Linked DNA regions of Sus scrofa. The protein of the gene in region 4 interacts with the protein of the main gene of each other region in a pairwise test. Links are inferred from orthologs where the notes say so. Each region holds a gene or a part of one and is shown on either strand. Other genes may lie near its edges.

Evidence for each region.
Region 1: the proteins of USHBP1 (region 4) and CCDC120 interact in binary tests that used the Homo sapiens proteins (3 or more experiments, as listed by UniProt). The two-hybrid records come from large-scale screens. The link is inferred for Sus scrofa from reciprocal best matches to the Homo sapiens genes USHBP1 and CCDC120.
Region 2: the proteins of USHBP1 (region 4) and UBXN11 interact in binary tests that used the Homo sapiens proteins (3 or more experiments, as listed by UniProt). The two-hybrid records come from large-scale screens. The link is inferred for Sus scrofa from reciprocal best matches to the Homo sapiens genes USHBP1 and UBXN11.
Region 3: the proteins of USHBP1 (region 4) and KLHL38 interact in binary tests that used the Homo sapiens proteins (3 or more experiments, as listed by UniProt). The two-hybrid records come from large-scale screens. The link is inferred for Sus scrofa from reciprocal best matches to the Homo sapiens genes USHBP1 and KLHL38.
Region 5: the proteins of USHBP1 (region 4) and MED4 interact in binary tests that used the Homo sapiens proteins (3 or more experiments, as listed by UniProt). The two-hybrid records come from large-scale screens. The link is inferred for Sus scrofa from reciprocal best matches to the Homo sapiens genes USHBP1 and MED4.

What each region holds. Positions count from the first base shown.
Region 1 is NC_010461.5:43,143,284-43,146,437, reverse strand, and holds the end of CCDC120 (coiled-coil domain-containing protein 120), read right to left. Parts: intron 2,246-3,154; coding exon 1,328-2,245; coding exon of another isoform or gene 1,306-1,327; exon of another isoform or gene 828-1,305; coding exon 713-827; 3' UTR 575-712; downstream 1-574. UniProt on the Homo sapiens protein: Centriolar protein required for centriole subdistal appendage assembly and microtubule anchoring in interphase cells. Together with CCDC68, cooperate with subdistal appendage components ODF2, NIN and CEP170 for hierarchical subdistal appendage assembly.
Region 2 is NC_010448.4:83,697,442-83,701,384, reverse strand, and holds part of UBXN11 (UBX domain-containing protein 11), read left to right. Parts: intron 1-995; coding exon 996-1,104; intron 1,105-3,943. UniProt on the Homo sapiens protein: May be involved in the reorganization of actin cytoskeleton mediated by RND1, RND2 and RND3. Promotes RHOA activation mediated by GNA12 and GNA13.
Region 3 is NC_010446.5:15,798,616-15,802,047, reverse strand, and holds the end of KLHL38 (kelch-like protein 38), read right to left. Parts: intron 2,829-3,432; coding exon 2,723-2,828; intron 1,685-2,722; coding exon 1,386-1,684; 3' UTR 575-1,385; downstream 1-574.
Region 4 is NC_010444.4:60,414,273-60,418,215, reverse strand, and holds part of USHBP1 (Usher syndrome type-1C protein-binding protein 1), read right to left. Parts: intron 1,946-3,943; coding exon 1,820-1,945; intron 1,476-1,819; coding exon 1,354-1,475; intron 1,190-1,353; coding exon 1,049-1,189; intron 668-1,048; coding exon 494-667; intron 1-493.
Region 5 is NC_010453.5:19,557,989-19,561,931, forward strand, and holds part of MED4 (mediator of RNA polymerase II transcription subunit 4), read left to right. Parts: intron 1-1,475; coding exon 1,476-1,646; intron 1,647-3,828; coding exon 3,829-3,886; intron 3,887-3,943. UniProt on the Homo sapiens protein: Component of the Mediator complex, a coactivator involved in the regulated transcription of nearly all RNA polymerase II-dependent genes.

The sequences.
Region 1 (3,154 bases), on a different chromosome or scaffold from region 4:
GCCTCCTGACTGGGGAAGAGTTGGGGCAGAGGCTGCCACCAAAGGCTGGGCCATTTCACCCTGTGGGCAGAGGCAGCGGGCACAGACAGGCAGACAGGAACCCTGGGGGTGGGGAGGGGAAATGAACCCAAGTCCTCCACCCAGACTTTAGTCCTTCCAGACGTGGGCAGAGAGCCCACGTCCCCAAGGAAAACGGCCCTGGTGGGGGTGGGGGGGGAGCGGGCAGGGAGTTCTGTTCACACTGGAGTCTCCTGGCTGCCCCAAGCTGGGCCCTGAGACCCTCTATGGTCTGTTTTGGGGAAGGGGGGTTCCTGAACGGGACACAGGTTGGGCACAGGGACAGGAAGGGACCCAACCAGGACGAGATCACAGTTTCCCTTTTTATAAAACGGCTAGTGTTGGGGGGAAGACGGTGAATACCTAAATCACGACTGTAAACAGGAATGGAGGAAGGGGCGTGGAGGCCCCATTACATCAGCCGCCCTCTCTTTCCAGCCGGCTCAGGGCCCCCAGTCCCCAGCACAGCGTGAGAGCAGAAGCAGGGTGTCAGACACCTTTGGGGGCCCACGGGGAGCCGGGGGCCTTGGGAGATCAGGTTGGTGCCCCCCGCCCCAGGACCAAGCGCAGCCACACCCCAGGGCTCAGCGAGATCCGCTGGGTGCTCCCCAGACTGGAGTCATGACCGGGCCGATAAGGGGCATATGGGAAGGGGTCAGACCAGTGTCCCCGGGGTCTGGGGGTCGGAACCGGAGGACGGCTCCCCCTCTAGCGTCAGGTCACTTAAACGAGCGCTCAGCTCCGGGGGGTACAGGAAGTCCGCGTAGTATCTTTAGGAGGGGTAGCAGGAATCCGGAGGACAGGGTGGGAAGACAGAGGACAGAGGAAAAGACGGACAAGACACAGAAAGAGAGAGGAAAAGAGGCTCGTTAAAGAGGTGGAGGCAGGCACAGGACAGCATCTTTAAGGCTCGCAAGCATGGGGCACGGTGAAAAGAGAAGAGAAAGGCGAGGGCACGGGACGTCCCTTCCTCCCAGCACCCTGATGCCAAGGCTCACTTGCAGCTGACATGCACTGGTAGTTCAGACCTTCACATTCCCATATTGCCTGGTGAAGAACTGCTGCTACCAAGGCCCAACACACCCCTCGGCCGAGACCCCGCAGACTAATGCAGGTCGGGCAAGGCCCAGTGAGCCCGGGGCGAGGGCCGCGGCCAGTTCTCCCCAGGGCTGTGTCACTCGCTAGCCGGGACAAGCTGCTCCCTAGCCTGGACCCTCTGGCCACCTGCCTCAAGAGACCCCCTACCCATCAGTAAAAGCACCCCCCGTACCTGCCGGAGACAGGGGGCGCCGTGAAACTCCTCGAGTGCGGGAGCGGCGCCTGGCTGGGGGCCCCATACAGCGCCTGGCCCACCTCATAGCAGCGGGCATGGAGGAAGGACGGGTGCTGCGGGACCATGTGGGGGAGCCCAGGCCGGCGCTGGGGCCCCGAGGCCAGTCCCGAGTTCCGGATGTACCAGTCCCGCAGCCCCTCCAGGGCAAGGTTCTTGTGGCCGCTGCGCTCGCCAGCTGGGGGGATGCGGGCAGGTGGGGGCATCCACATCAGAGGGTTGGGATGCACCTCTGGCCCCTCGGTGGCCTCCAGGGGCAGGCCACAGGGCTTGGCGCGGGGGGCACGGCCGTGGGGGTCCTTGCTGCGGAGGAGGGGGCTGCTGCCGTCAGCTGCGTACACAGGCGGTGGGCCGGGGAGCATGGCGAGGAGCCCATCCCGGCGGGAGAGGGGTCCTGGGACATCGGCTGCAGGCAGCAGCTCCCCCCAGCCTGTCCCGCCGCCGCCACCACGGGGCAGACCCCGGTCCAGGGAATAGTCCAACAGGAAGTCCCCACACACGGGTGGGAGCCGGGGAGCCCCACGGGAGGCGGGGGCGGCCGAGCTGGGCCGGGCAGCCCGAGGAGGGTCTGGGGGACCAGCGGTGCGAGAGGAGAAGGCCGGGGTTGGTTGGGGGCGCTCATACAGCACCTCACTGCTCTTGCAGACCGGGGGACCGGCGGCAGGGGGAACCAGAGGCGCAGGAGGGGAGCCAGCTCCCGCACCAGCTGCCCGGTCCACCAGCAGGGCCTCAGAGCTATTGCTGCGGCGGGTTCGAGCTGCGAAGAGGGAGGCGCGGTCGGAGACAGGGTCTGCCCGGGGGAAGCCCATCTGGGAGTCCTGGCTGCCGGACCACTGGCGAGAATGCAGGCCTTCAGGTCTGGGGGCACAAGGGGTGGTGATGGGAGAAGGGTCAGAAATGACAGGCAGATGGGATGAGTGCCCTCCCTACCCCGCCTCTCTCTTTTTTTTAATTAAAAAAATTTTTTTTTTGCTTTTTAGGGCCGCACCTATGGCATATGGAGGTTCCCAGGCGAGGGGTCCAGTTGGAGCTAAGCTGCCAGCCTACGCCACAGCCACAGCAATGCAGGAGCCGAGCCACATCTGTGACCTACACCACAGCTCACAGCAAGGGCAGATCCTTAACCCACTGAGCGAAGCCAAGGATAGAACCCGTGACCTCATAGTTCCTAGTTGGATTCATTTCCGCTGTGCCACGACAGGAACTCCTACTGGCCCCCCACCCCCGAGCCTTCACTTCCACACCCTCAAAAAGGGCCCCAGATGGATTCAAAAGCGTGTGTATAAAGGTGTCAGGTGGGGGCATTTAAAGGGCGGCAGAGGATCTGCCCGGGACTGGGGGGCAGAGGGGCTGAAAATGTATGGGGGTGCTTGGGACTGTTAGCTTGGAGATGAAAGTGTGTGCAGGGCTGGGGCAGGGGGTGCAGGGTTGAGGACTTTTTCTACACATCTGACCCCTCATTCCCTGCTAAGGGGCTTCTCAGGGCTCCCCGCCTCCTCTAGGATGAGGTCCTAAACCTTAGGCCAGAAATTCAAGACCCTTCCTGAATTATCTGTCCCAACATGTGCATGAAGCACCCCCAAACTATCGTCCCAACAGCCACCATTCATAGCATGCAAGCGCCACAAGGATGAGAACTTGGTTTTGTTCACAGCCTGGATAAAGCAGGCACTTTAAGTATGCATTTGTTCGGAGTTCCCGTCATGGCGCAGTGGAAACAAACCCAAGTAGGAACCATGGGGTTGCGGGTTCAATCCCTGGCCTTGC
Region 2 (3,943 bases), on a different chromosome or scaffold from region 4:
GGAGGCAGTGCCTCTCCGTTGATGGCGACAAGGGAGCCTGGGGGGAAGAGGTGTGGGAGACGTCGGGGCGAGGAGTCATGACTAGGCCGGGTTCACTTTGAGATGCCTGTTAGCCATGTACGTGCGGATGGCTGGGGATTTGAAACTGAAGAGGAAGAACACGTGTCGCGGGCGATGAAGGCAGACTCGCGCCCACTGGAATAGGCACGAGGCAGGTTGCAGGTGGCTGCGTGTATGCAGTTGCAGTGAGCTGTGGAGTTGGAGGCTGGGTTGAGGTGGGTCGAGGAGAAGAATGGAGATGAGGAAGCTGCAGCAGGAAGTGTAGACAACTCCGTTTTCCTGGGAGTGGCCGTGGTGGCTCAGCAGGTTAAGACCGCAACTAATCCACGAGCATGTGGGTTCCATCCCTGGCCTCGCTCAGTGGGTTAAGGATCTGGCGTTGCTGTGAGCTGTGTGGTGTAGGCTGCAGACATGGCTCAGGTCCTGTGTGGCTGTGGCTGTGGTGGAGGCTGGCAGCTACAACTCCGATTCCACCCCTGGCCTGGGAACTTCCATATTCTGCACCTGCAGTCCTAAAAAAGAAAAAAAAGTTTTCCTGTGGCAAAGGGGCTGTGAGGCCAGCCCTAGAGGGGCCACATGTGAGTGGACATGTCCCCTCAGACCTGCCAAGTGGGGTGTCCCTGCCCCTCCTGCTTCTCAGGCCAGACCCACCTGCCTTCAGCGAGCTCCTGCTTGTGCCAGGCCCGGTACTAAGTACATGACATGAATTATCTTAGTCTTCCTCACAAGCTTCATTTCACAAGGAGCCTGAGGCTCTAGGCAGCGAAATGGCTTCCCAAGGTCACAGCCAGGAAGTGGTTCAAGACCCTGGGGCCCATCCCCCCGATCCAGTCAGCTTTGGGAGCCCAGGCTGGAGGCTGGGCTGGTGCTGCCTTTTCCCCTGGAAGGGGCTGAGCTGACAGGGCCCTGGACACCTCCCTTCTCTCTCCCCGCAGCGGTTCCTTGGGGACTACGGCCTGCAGTGGGTGGGTGAGCCCGTGGACCAAGAGGACTCTGAGGATAACGAGAGGGACTGGATGACAGCCAAGAAGTTCTGGAAGCCAGGTAGAGTCAGGGTCTACCCCAGCGCCCCCTGCAAAGGGATTTGTCCAGCAGCTTCTGATGGTGCCCAGCTGTCCAGAGGCCATCTCATTCACGCCCCTCCTCCCAGCACGAGGAGGTGCCCCGAGGCCTCCCACGCTTTGCCACTGACACAGGGACAGGAGGGAAAGGCCTCAGCTTTCATCACTGAGCACCTAACCTAGACTCTGTTTGCTCACCTTTCTAAGGCTCCGGGGACCCAGAGATACAAGATGTAACAAGATCTCATTTGTCTCAGGCACCACAGTTCACAGAACATCCCCCCTCCCAAAGCTGTGGCCTTTGAAAGCAGTCCCTCTGCTTTGGAAGTGTCCTGTGGTCCCAGGGCTTGGCCTCCTCTTCGGACTCTTTTTCCAGGTTCCCTTACAGCAAACTATTGAAATCTACCTGCTTTTATGGGACGCCATCCCCTTTTATTCCTAAGTCGAGTGCTGATATCCAGAGGGATGCACTCCAGAGATTTGGGCCCATAGAACTGGCCCCTTCTGAAAGCCGGGTCCATTCTCCACAAAGAATGGAGGTCATTGCCCTGAAGGTTCTTCTCTGGGCTCTGGAGATGGTCACGGCTGGGTCCTCATTGCCACTCTACCCCCAGGCGTGACTTGACTCGGGTTCTGTTCTCTGAGCCTCCAGGTCCTCTCCAATAGATGGGGGTGTGTTCTCGCCCACGCTGGGCTGGACGCAGCACCTCCCGCTGACCTTGCATGCCTTCAGCCCCACGAGTGGGAGCTCTCATTGGTCTCCACAGTCAGAGGCAGTGACAGTCCCGTGGGAACATGAGCGTGGCTCCCGGGCTGACTCTTTGGAAGATGATGGCACTCTCTTGGTTTCACAAGTTTCCAGCAGGGTAAAAACCGAAACCGAAAACATGGGAGTCCCACCTTTGGCCGGATCCCCCTAAATCTCCAGGCACAACCCTCTCATCCTTGTTCCAAAAACATTACTTCCCATTTGGACCACACTTAACTTCCTTTAAAGCATTTTCATAAATAGTCTTGACATGAGCTGGGGTTATTCCATTTTACAGATGTGGAAACTGAGGCACTTAAGACGTCCGAAGCCTGTTGAGTGGAGGGGGCAAGGCTTAAGGCTGAGAGCCCATTGGGAGGTGGTTACAATCATCTGGGCAGAAGATGAGATGATGCCCAGCATAGGGTGATACTGGTGGGGCTGGTGAGCAGGGGCAGAGCAGAGAGATTTATTGGAGATCGCTTGTTCATTAGGGAGGGGGCAGGAGGAACCTGGGCTGACCCTGGGGAGCACGAGTGGGGGGACGATGCTGAGTCCACTTGGGACATAGCAAAGCTGGGGGAGCTTGGTGGCACCTGGGTCATGCCCGGAGCTGAACCCTGGGCTGAGTCCTATGGGAAGTTCTCCAGGGACACCTGCCCAGATGAGAGGCCAGACCCTGGCAGGTGACTGCCAGAAGCTGTAAGAATGTCTGTTCCTGGGCTCTAGGGCCAAAGGCCTGCCAGCACTGCCCCTCCCCTCCCCTCCTTGTCCCTGAGCTGGGCTCAGGCCTCCTTGTTGGAGGAGAGTCATCCTCTTGGCCGGAGGGGGCTGCCCTGCCCCTTTGGGGAAGGAGTCAGACCAGACAGCTGCTTTCTGGTCCTGGCTCTGTGGATTCCTACCCTCTCCCTCCAAAACAGAGCAGCCCCCCTCCCCCCGGCTCTGTGCTTTACACACAGAGTACGGCCAGCTCAGAAGCCACTTGTAAAAGCCACCCAGCCACAAGCTCCCTCTGTGTGTCGTCTTCCTTCTTTTGCTTTTTGATTCTTCCACACGGAGGGACCTTGATTTCACTCTCCTACCCGATGAACAACATGTTTTTCACTTCCAGCAGCTTTTCCTCCTGGAACCCTCCCACGCTCTTCCCTTCCTTTCCCCATGGCCTGGTCCCCAGCTGCTAGACTGCTCCCGCCCCAAGGACCCTTGGGCCCATGGAGGTAGCCTCTGGCTGGCCCTGATGCTCTGGCTCCTTTCTTTGGCTCTCCCTCTGTTGGGTACCACTTCCCACAGGCCCTGGGGCAGCAGGCCAGGGGATAGGTGAGCTGGGGCGTCTGTATTGGGCAAACTGGGGCTGATTCTAATGTTCTGGAGCCCGGGAGTCCTATCTTAAGGAGGAGGCCCCTGCAGGGGCCCAGGGGAGAGGAAGCTCAGCCCCTCCCACCCTTCCACCAGCGGGGTGAACATCAAATCGGGTGCCGGGTGCCAGGTGCCTCAGGGTACACGCAGACCTGAAAGGGCGGCTCTGCTCTGGCCATGCTACTTTCAGGTCAGATGTTGCTCTGGCCATACCACTTTCAAGTCAGGTGTCGAGCCTCAAGGCTGAAAGCTCCTGCCAACTTTGAGCTCCTGACCCCTCTTCCCCATCCTCTCTGACCTCCTCACCTCCCTTCCCCCATCCCCTCTGTGCTTCCCTCCCCTCCCCCATCAAGTTCCTGCCCTCCTTCTCCATCACCCTCCCCTGAGTCCCCCCACCTCCCCCAGCCCTTTCCCCCAGGCCCAGGCTCCTGCCTCTTCCTTCCACTGCTCAGGATGCTACCCTGACCCCTCTGTGGGCTGTAGCTGGCTTCACTTGTCCCTGGGCTGCCCTTGAGCCCCTGGGACTGGCCTGGCCTGGACCCCTGGCAGGATTAGCTCCTTCCAGCTGCATTCCCATTAGCTCCAGCCTGTGCTGTGTCCCCTGGGTGCCTTGTCCCCTTTCCTCCCCTCCTTTGGAGCTCAGCTAAACCCGACTTGCTGCAGCTGCCCCGGGCGCGTGGTTAGGGGCTCTGGCTGAGGAGTGGGGCCTGGTCAGATC
Region 3 (3,432 bases), on a different chromosome or scaffold from region 4:
AACATGGACCTGGAGAGCTGGCCGGGGTGGAAGGCTTCAGCTTGGGGGCACTCTGGTGCCTGGCTCAGGGCAGCAAGACGCATCCCAGAGGCTTCCATTGGTCGGGAGGGGACTCTACCTACCCTGGGCTGGGGCAGGTCTGGGGAGATAGGATGGGGAAGAGACCAGCACAGGACGGTCTCCAGTGCTGAGAAGGGTGGTGGTTCTCCACCTGACTGCCAGTCATTGCAATGAACTGGGATGCTTTTCAACAATGCGGAGCCCTGGCCCCGCCTCTGGGAATCCCTGTCTGTCCATCTTGATTTGGGCTCCGCCCCATTTTCAAACGTCTTCCCAGGTGATTGTAGTGTGCCCCTAGCTTCAACTGATTCCTGAGTTTGGGACCGAGCTAGTGTGGGAGGCACTGTGAGATAAAGAGGGCCACGGGGAAAGTCAGCCCTGGCATTGGAAGGGCTGTAATCTCTGAAAGAATTTGTTGGCTTTCCTCAGGAAAGCAATTCTCGTAACATTTACCAAAATGAAAATCGTGATTAATTCTGCAGGTTTATAGCTCGCTGGAGGCTGGAGAAAAACATCATTTGGCATCAGAAACAAACTTTATTCCAGTGGTGCAGATACTTTTGCAAACACTAGCAACTGAGGTTCGCATACTCTCCTGGAGTTCCAATGCGCTACGTTCTAGAAGGTAGAGGAACATGGGCTCAGCCAGTTGCTCTTTCTGCCGCCTGGACCAGATGCTTCCAGGGACCCCTTTGGGTGTCTTCACCCTCTTGTTCCTAATGGCCATGCTCTCTGGGCAGATGTGGTTCTTATCGGCCCGGCATTTCTTGCTTTGGGGAACCACTTCTGTCCCATTAGGTGCAGTCTGGCAGTTTTATCAGCGACAGTCGTTAACCCCACCTCTGCCTGTGGAGACAGGATCCAGGTCAAGCTCACTTGCACAGTCTCGGGAAGCACAGTCTACAGTCTCTGGAAGTATTGCGGGAGACAGGGAATTCAAAAAGAACCAATCGGCATTGTTTTGGGGAGGGGGCGTTTCTATGGATAAGAGTAAAGTTCTTTCCTAAAGGTGCCAGATTGCTAGACTTTCTGTCACATTTCCTCACACTGGATGAAGAGGCTAAAGAAGCTTGTTTGCAGAATAAACCCTAATGGCAATGAGGTAGAGAAGGAGGGAGGGAGGGAGGAAGGGAGAGAGGAAAGACAGACAAGAGATACAGAGACAGAGAGTTCTGTGAACAGTAGGCTTGGTCTCAGGCCTCCAGGCTCTAGAACTTTCAGTCCTGAGAGCTCTCCCTGCACCCTTTCAGAGTTAAGCTCTTGGAATCGGGTTCTGTCTCTTGCCATAAGAGCATCTCGACTAAGCCAGGTGGCTTCTCAGTTTCTCATGGGCCTGAGGGGACCGTGACAGAGTGGGGGATGCATTGGAGAGTGAGGCAGGCGTGGTCAAAGAGCTTGTGTGGCAGCTGGCCCTGGGACGTCCAGGTGTCTGTCTCGGGGTCGTAGCAGTCAAAGGAGGCCAGGTCCTCGATGCTGCAGTCCGTGGTCAGCCGCCGCCCTCCCGTCACGTAGAGCTTCTTCCCCATCACCGCCGCCCCGTGGTGCATCCTCCGGTCTTTCATGTCCGCACATTTGACGAATTTGTTGGACTGGGGGTCGTAAGCAAGGATCCTCCGCGTGTAACCTGAAAGCCAAGTGGCATATCAACCAGGTCAGCGATACTCATTTGGAACTGGAGACGAGCGGCCGGGAGACCTGTCCGACCTCTGCCAGCACCTACCTCTGAGGCTGGACTCTCAACTGAAGCGTGGAATGTTTCATGAACCCGCCCAAGGTCTCGTGTATGGCAGAGCCGGGGTTTGGACCCAGATCCGTCTGACCCTAGCCTCTACATCGTAGAGAGCAGAGATGCCATGGGCCTTCTCAGCCTTGTTAGCTTTTGATTTTTTTTTTTAATTATTGTATGGTTGATTTACAATATATTTGTTTCGGGTATGCAGCAAAGTGGTTCAATTACATTCAGTTACACAAAATATTAAGTATAGTTCCCTGTGCTATACAGGTCTTTGTTGTGTATCTATTTTATATATAGTAGTGTGTGTATGTTATTCCTAAATTCCTAAATACGCTCATCCAAGAGTTTTAACAGTCCAATGAAGGTGCTTTTGGGAACTCAAAAGTGAGTCCCCACAACAGCCCTATCTGGTGGGTACTTTTAGGAGCCACATTGTGCAAGTCAGCAAAAAGATGCACAAAGAGGTTAATAACTTGCCTCAGAATATAGAGCCAGTTAGTGGCAGAGTCAGGATTTGAACCCACGTCCATCTGACCACCCCACCAACCAGCCCTCGTAACCCTAACATTATACTGCAGTTACCGAGAAATGATCCCTAAGCAGCTAATCTTATTTACAACAGCAAATGTTTTTTGACTGTTTGCGCCGGGTCTGGGATCGTGCTGAGAGGTTTAGAGATGTGAGCACTATTTTATGCTCGCAACTCTATGAAATAGGTATGATTTTATTCCTTGTTTGCAGATAAATAGAGAAATTTCTGGATGAGGAGAGAGCTTTGTTAAGCTGTCCATACCCCCCCTGATTGGCTGGGTGTGCTTTAAAAAAAAAAAAAAACTGTCCCAGAGAACAGCATCTGTCTATCCGCGACGCTTTTTCCGTGGGAGATGCCACGTTGGTGTCCGCTCTCCATCCTCTGTTCAAACTCACCTCCCACGATGACGATCCGCTCCCCCAGCACCACGGCGGGGGCACAGACGTTCTTGATCATTCTCGTCTCCATTTTGAACCACGTGTTTCTGGAAATGTGATACACCTGAGGGAGAAATACATAATCACAGCATTTCACTTTAAAGTGTGCTGCATGTTTTTTCCCTTTTTTTTTTTTTTAAGGTTAGAGGTGTACTTTTTTAAAAAAAATTTTTTTATCTTAGTTGATTTACATGTTCTGTCAGTTAAGTGCTGCATGTTTTTAAGAGACAGAAGAAGTGATTAAGTGGGCGAAAGAGCAGTGATTTCTTTTTCTTTCCACTTTTTTTTTCCAGTCCTGACAATGTAGCTATATTACGATCAACAAATAAAATATAACTAAATACGAGAAAGAAGGTTGTTATTCGAAATTGGTCTTTATGTGTCCCCATGAGATCGGTAGCTGTGTGTCTATAGGACAGACCATGTGTTTGTCGCATGTGTTTGCTTAGCTTGCTTCGAACGTGTCTTCTCCTGCCCGTGAAAAATGGAGCAACTTGGATGTGCATAATACCAGTGATTTTTTAATCATTTTTATTTCTGGCTCATGTTTAAATTTCTAACTGTTCCAGTGTATCTAAGAAGATCTTAAGGCCAAGAATAAATTCGGGGCTAAATGAGGAAGGCTTTTGAACTGTTCCTATCTGAAAGCCATTAGCATCGTAGGAAAA
Region 4 (3,943 bases):
GTGGGCATGGTCAAACCAATATGGTGGGTACCACACTGTAAACCTCAATGATCAAAATCATCTATCAGTGATGAATGATGGATGAACACTATCATGCCAATGGGTACAGTCACTCATGCCATCGTGGTAGATGCCATCATGTCAACCCAATGGGCACCATCACACAACTTGCCGACCCTGCTAGGCAGCATCATGCCAACTCCAGTGGATACCAACATCAAGCCAACCCCACTAAGTACCATCATGCCAGTTCTAATCCATGGGCACCATCATCCATCATCATCATGCCAACTCTGATGCGTCCTAAACCAACCCCAGTGGGTGTCACCATCACCCCAACTTTGTTGAGTAGCAACCAGCCAACACCAGTCAGGTTTCATGCCAACCATAAGAGCCATGGAACTTCCCAGTGTGGGACTGATTCTGGGAGCCCAGTTCTCCAATCAGAACCTCACTCATTGGCTCACCCGGTACCCAGGGTTCCCTTGGGTACCTTGGATGTGGAGCCTGAAGTGTCCCTCCATCCATGGCAGCCTTCTCTTGCATCAGCAGCCTCTGAGCTTCCTTTTCAGCTGCCTCCAAGTCACTCGTGAGGGCTTTCTCTCCTGCTCTGGAATCTGCCTCCCGGAGAGTGAGCAGGGCTCCATACGCCTCCTCACAGTGTTCACTGTGGGACATGAGCTCTAAGCACTCCAGGACACCCATCTTGCTGTGTCGGTGACATCCCCACTTGCTCTGGGACCCCCTCACTTCTCCTCCCCTCCCCCACACCTGGGAGTTCATAAACTCCTCCAGCCTTTTTAAGGCTGCACCCACGGCATATGGAAGTTCCCAGGCTGGGGGTAGGATGGGAACTGCTCCTCCAGCCCTCTTGGACTAAAATCGCCTGAAGTTAAGTTCCCTGGTAAGGGAAAAGTACTTTTCTGTGAGGGCCCTGCCTCTCTCTAGGGACGTGTGAGGTCCCTGCCTCTCTCTAGGGACGAGGGCCATCCTTTGAGGATGCCCATTTCCTTCCCAGTCAGTGACATCATGGGTGGGGTGCACTGACCTATACTGCAAGGCTAGATGCAGCGCAGTGGCCTCAGCCTCCAGCTGGCCCAGCTGCATGCTGAGGCCCTCACACCGGCCCTTGTACTCCTGGAGCACAGCCGACAGCAGACGGTTGAAGCATTTGAGCTTTTCAATGTTCCTGCCTCCCGAAGTGGAAAAGAAGGAAAGTGAGATGCCTTGAAGGACAGTTAGGACCTGATTGACTTCCACCCTCCCTCCCCCTCCAGCTCCAGACTCCTGGAGACTCCTCTTCCAGCTGGGAGGCACCAGTGCCCTTACGAGCTCAGCATTTGTGGCTCTTACCCTCGCAGCTGCTCCATCTGGGCTTCCACGATGTGCATCTCAGGGGCAAGCGGTTCAAGCATCTGGGTGCTGGAATCACTCTGGAGGCGCCGAAGCAGGGGATGAGCTGGGGAGAAAGGATCCTGCCAGAAGGCAGAAGGAGGTGAATTTTTTAAAAAAATACACTCCTGTGTGAATCAATCTCTCTCTCTTTTTTTTTTTTGGAGGTGCCAACAGCATATGGAAGTTTCCATGCCAGAGATCCAACCAGTGCCACAGCACTGATAACACCAGATCCTTAACCCACTGCACCACCAGGGAACTCCAGAAGGTGGCTGGATTCACCCAGATTGTCACCAAGAGCCCAGCATCATGGCTTTAGGGCTTTTCCAACCTCACAAGCTATTGGATCCATGACCAGGAACTGAGTCCCATGGCCTAAACCCTAAGCATCTTAAGATCATGGTTTTCAGCTTCCCACACTCACCTGAGTGTCCCAGGTCTCCCTGTCAGCCCCAGAGCTGCTGGAACCACTTCTAGAGCCACCTGCTTGGTCACCAGAGGGCGATGAGAAGGGCTCCAGCCTCAGCAGGGAATCCTGCAGCTCCTGGACCTGTATGGGAAAGGGGGGTGTCAGGCCTGGGGGCTCTAGCATTCTTACCTAAGATCTGTTCCTAGGGCAGTGGCAAGAGCCCTGGCTGGAAGGCAGGACCCCAGATACTCATCCTACCAAATCCCTCACTATACAACCTTGGGCAACTCACTCAGCCACTTAAGACTTCCCTTTTTTTAGATATACAGATAGCCAACAGGTATGTGAAAAGATGCTTAATATCGCTAAGTCTCAGGGAAATGCAAATCAAAACCACCATGTGGGGAGTTCCTGTCATGGTTCAAGGGTAACGAACCCAACTAATATCCATGAGGATGTGGGTTTGACTCCTGGCCTCACTCAGGGGATTAAGGATACAGCATTGCCGTGAGCTGTGGTGTAGGTCACATACACGGCTTGGATCCCGTGTTGCTGTGGCTGTGGTGTAGGCCTGCAGCTGCAGCTCCAATTCGAGCTTCCATATGCTGTGGGTACAGCCCTAAAAAGACAAACAAACAAATGAACAAACAAAAAAACACAATGAGGAGTTTCTACTGTGTCACAACTATGGCGACCTCTTGGGAGCACTGGGACACAGGTTCAATTACCAGCCTGGCACAGTGGGTTAAGGATCTGGCATTGCTGAAGCTGTAGCTTAGGTCACAACTGCAGCTTGGATCTGATTTCTGGCCTGGGAACTCCATATGCCATAGAGCACCCAAAAAAGAAAAGAAAGGGAGTTCCTGTTGTAGCTCAGCAGAAGTAAGTCTGACTAGTATCCATGAGGATGCAGGTTTGATCCCTGGCTTTGCTCGGTTAGTTAAGGATCCAGTGTGTCCATGAACTATGGTGTAGTTTGCAGATGTGGCTTGGATCTGGTTTGGCTATGGCTGTGGCGTAGGCCAGTGGCTACACCTTCAATTTGACTCCAGCCTGGGAACCTCCATATGCCTCAGGTGCAGCCCTAAAAAGGCAAAAAAAAAAAAAAAAAAAAAAAAGATAAACACTGTATGATCTCACTTATATGTGGAGTCTAAAGAAGGAGTTTCTGCTATGGTGCAAAGGGATTGATGGCATCTCCTGCAGCATGAGGACATACATTTGATCCCCAGCTCATGTGGGTTAAAGGATTTGTCATCGCTGCAAGTGTGTCATAGGTCTCAACTGCATCTCAGATTTGATCCCTGGCCCAGGAGCTCCATATGCCGCAGGCCAGCCAAAAAATAAAAGGAATAAAATAAAATAAAATAAATGAAATGAAATAATAAAATAAAATAAAGCAAAATTGGAGTTCCCTGATGGCTCAGTGAGTTAAGGATTTGGCATTGCCACTGCATGGCTCTGGTTATTACTGTGGCAAGGGTTTGATCCCTGGCCTGGGAAAGGAACTTCTGCATGCTGCAGGTGTGGCCAATAATAATAGTAATAATAATAAATTAAAATTTTTAAAAAATTAAAAAATTGGAGTTCCTGTCATGGCTCAGTGATTAATGAATCTGACGAGGAACCATGAGGTTTCAGGTTCAATCCCTGGCCTCTCTCATTGGGTTAAGTTGTCGTGAGCTGTGATGTAGGTCACAGACGGGGTTCAAATCCCAAGTTGTTGTGTAGGCCGGTAGCTACAGCTCTGATTAGACCCCTAGCCTGGGAACCTCCATATGCCACGGGTGCAGCCCTAGAAAAAAAAGTTTAAGAATTGAACATGCAGATACAGAGAACAGATTGATATTTGCCAGAGGCAGGGGGTAGGGGGTAGGCAAACATTTTTTAAAATATATTTTTCTTTTCCATCTTGGAAATGGGCCCCACTCTGTAGGGAAATGGGCCCCACTCCTTGCACTGGCACCTGCAACCCCTAGTGTCACCACCTGGGTCCTTCTCACTCTGACATCTGCTGAGTTCTGAACTCAGATGTAGGACTGTTCCTTTTTTTTTTTTTTTTTTTTTTTTTGTCTTTTTGCCATTTCTTGGGCCGCTCCCACAGCATATGGAGGTTCCCAGGCTAAGGACCAAATCGAA
Region 5 (3,943 bases), on a different chromosome or scaffold from region 4:
TTTCAAATTTACAATACTGTATTCTAAATTACAGTCACCATGCTTACACTACATTTCCAGAACTTAATTAATCTTATTGCCGGGAGTTTGTACCTTTTGACCACTTCATCCATTTTGCTGCCTTCCCCCTGGCTTCCAGCAACCATCAGTCTGATCTTTTTTCTCTGTTTGGCTCTTCTAGATTCCACATATGAAGTCATACAGTATTTGTCTTTCTCTGCCTAACTTATTTAACATAGTATCCTCAAGGTCCATCCATGTTATCCCAGATGCCAAGATCTCCTTCTCGTATGTGGCTGAATAATGATATTCCTCTGTGTGTGTGTGTGTGTAGATCTACACATTTCTTTGTCCATTGATCCACTGATGGACACTAAGATTGTTTCCCTGTCTTGGCTGTTGTAAATAATGCTGCATTAAACATGGAGGTGCAGATATTTTTTCAAAATAGTGACTTGAGTTCCTTTGTGGCACAGCGGGTTAGGTATCTGGTATTGTCACTGCAGTGGCCCGGAGTTGCTGCTGTGGTATGGGTTCAATCCCTGGCCCAGAAACTTTCTCATGCTGCAGGTATGGCCAAAACAATAAAATAAAAAAAAAATAGTGGTTTCATTTCTTTGGATAAATACTCAGGAGTAGAATTTCTGGACCATATGGTAGTTCTGTTTTTAATTTTTTAAGTAATCTCTACCTTTAATGGAAGGTTTTCTGTGGTAGTTGCACTAATTTAGATTCCCACCAACAATAGGACTAAGGGTTCTGTTCTCCCCACATCCTCTCCAACACTTATCTCTTGTCTTTCTGATGATGGTTTTAACTGGTGCAGTGGTCTTTTTTTTTTATGATTTTTATTTTTTCCATTATAGTTGGTTTACAGTGTACAATTTCTACTGTACAGCAAAGTGACCCAGTCAAACATACGTATATGTACATTTTTTTTCTGACGTTATCCTCCACCATGTTCCATCGCGAGTGACTAGATACAGTCCTCTTCTAGACAGCAGGATCTCCTTGCTCATCCATTCCAAAGGCAGCAGTTACAGTGCAGTGGTTTCGATTTGCATTTCCCTGATGATTAGCAATACTGAGTACCTTTTCATGTGTTTTTGGCTATTTGTGTATCTTTGGAGAATTGTCTATTCAGTTCCTGGTGTCAACTAAAATCATCTCAAATAAATTATATCTTCCCTGGGAAATGAATAAACCTGCTTATTTTGGCATATTGCTAGTTTTGAAAGATTTGTTCTATTTTGTATGAAAGAATAGCATATAATTAGAAAAAATAGATAATCTTGATGTTAATTGGTTTTCTAAAATAATCATAGGCTATTTTTATTCGTAGCAATGATTAGAAATAATACTTAGGAGGTATTAAAATTTTACAGACTAGTCAGTTCACATGTGGATTCTTTGTTTTATTGGAATGTAGTTTTTCAGTATTCTGTTATCTGCTTTAATCAGCTATTATCTGACAGGTCCTGGAGTTGTTAATTCACAGAGATGGGGAATTTCAAGAACTAATGAAATTAGCACTTAATCAGGGGAAAATTCATCATGAAATGCAACTTTTAGAAAAAGAAGTAGAAAAGAGAGACAGTGATATTCAGCAACTACAAAAACAGCTAAAGGAAGCAGAACAGATACTGGTAAGTGGGTAAAGACTGTTTCTTTTTTTTTTTTTTTTTGTCTTTTTTTTTTTTTTTTTTGCCATTTCTTGGGCCACTCCTGTGGCATATGGAGGTTCCCAGGCTAGGGGTCGAATTGGAGCTGTAAGCTGCCAGCCTACGCCAGAGCCACAGCAACGCAGGATCCGAGCCGCGTCTGTGACCTACACCACAGCTCACGGCAACGCCGGAACCTTGACCCACTGAGCAAGGGCAGGGATCGAACCCGCAACCTCATGGTTCCTAGTCGGATTCATTAACCACTGCGCCACGAAGGGAACTCCGAGACTGTTTCTTAATGGAAAAAGGGGTATTACTTACTCTCTGAAAAATAAATCTTTTATCAGTATTTTGAAGTGGTAGAAAAACTTGAATTTCCAAGTCTAAAAGTGACAACTACTTTCAGAGAGTCTCTGTTACGTATTACTTTTTCATTATTTTCATTATTTAGTTATTTAAAGATTTCTTAAGATTAAATTAATAGAAATGAGAAGTTTTATTTGTATCTTGTCCTGATGTAAATTTTCATTTATTAATATTGTAAATCTTTACTTCAATTTTAGAAATATCTTGAAATCAGTAAAAATACATACCAGTTTTGTAACTTGATTAAAATTAACATCAGTTTATTTATTTTAGTCTTCCATCCCAAACTGAATGGAATTTGGATTTATGTCAAGGACTCCAGTTTTTCCATTCTTGTTCTTGGCTACTATTTCAAAGAGACAGTTAATTTGCTATTATTTGCTCAGTTTTTTTTTTTTTTTACTAAATACTAACTAATGCAATTGTTATTTGGTGATATTGCATGAAGAGTGGAGCTTGATTCTCATATGGACCAGACATTGCTGGCTATTCTCTAGATTAGATCTTCAAAAGTGTTGTTATTGAGTTAAAGACTGAACACAAAGACCATAAAAGACTGAATTTTGTGTTTTAGATAATAGCAACTAACATTTATTAAGAGCACTTGTGCACCAGGGCCTGTGCTTTTGCATTTTTATTTGTATTATCTCAATCTTCTTAACAATTACATGAGGTCAGTATCATTACTCTGTTTCACAGAAGGAGAAATTATGATTTTAAATGAATACCTACCTTGCCCAAGAGGGTAAAAGTAGAGAGATGGAACTTAAACCTAGATCTCTCTGACTCCATACCCCCCCCTTTTTTAGGGCTACACCCACAGTATGTGGAGGTTCCCAGGCTAGGGGTTGAATCAGAGCTATAGCTGCCGGCCTACACTACAGCTCACGGCAATGCTGGATCCTTAACCCACTGAGCGAGGCCAGGGATCGCACCCGCAACCTCATGGTTTATAGTCGGATTTGTTCCCACTGCGCCACAACGGGAACTCCTCTGACTCCATACTCTTACCCACTGTGTCATAGTGCTAAGTTAACTTCATTTTACCCTTAGTTAGCCTTTGCCCAGGGGTTGGTGGGTGAAGGAGTTCACTATTAGTCATTAAGTATGGAGGTAAGGTAACATATAAATGAATGAGACGATCAGTCCAAGAATGTATCTTGTAAACTAGGGAAAAAAGTGTCTTTGGTACTGGTCGCAAGAATAGGGTGCTTTGGAGGTGGTACGTGGTCTGTTTTCTGCATGCTTATGGTAGAAGACAAAGGAAAAATGGTATTAAACAATCTAATTTACATTTTGTTTCTAACCACTAGTTTGTGAATGGAGACTACCTCATGAGTATAATGTTTATTTTTTTTTTCTCTTGACTATATAACTTAGGTAAATGCTATCCAAGTGGTGTTTCATAAATGACAAGGAATTCCTGTTGTGGCTCAGGGCGTTAAGAACCCAGCTAGTATCCTTGAGGATGCGGGTTTGATCCCTGGCCTTGCTCAGTGGGTTATGGATCCTGCACTGATGGGAGCTGCGGCATAGGTCTCAGACGCGGCTCCCATCTGGTGTGGTTGTGGCTGTGGTGTAGGCCCGCAGCTCCAACTCCAGTTCAACCCCTAGCCTGAGAACTTCCATATGCTGATGGTGTGGCCATAAAAAGGAAAAAAAAAGACAAATTGTGGGGCTTTCCCAAATTTTGCGTATTGTTCCTCTGTGATAAATGGTTTTGTGAATTAAGCCAAAAACTGGGCTTGGTATAGTCTTGAATAATCCATATTTCTTTTTTTAATGTTTAATTAATTAGGCAACAGCTGTTTACCAAGCAAAAGAGAAACTCAAGTCAATAGAAAAAGCAAGAAAAGGTTAGTATGGTGGGAACACTGAATGACTTTCTGAAAAATCCAAGAGACTGACTCTGA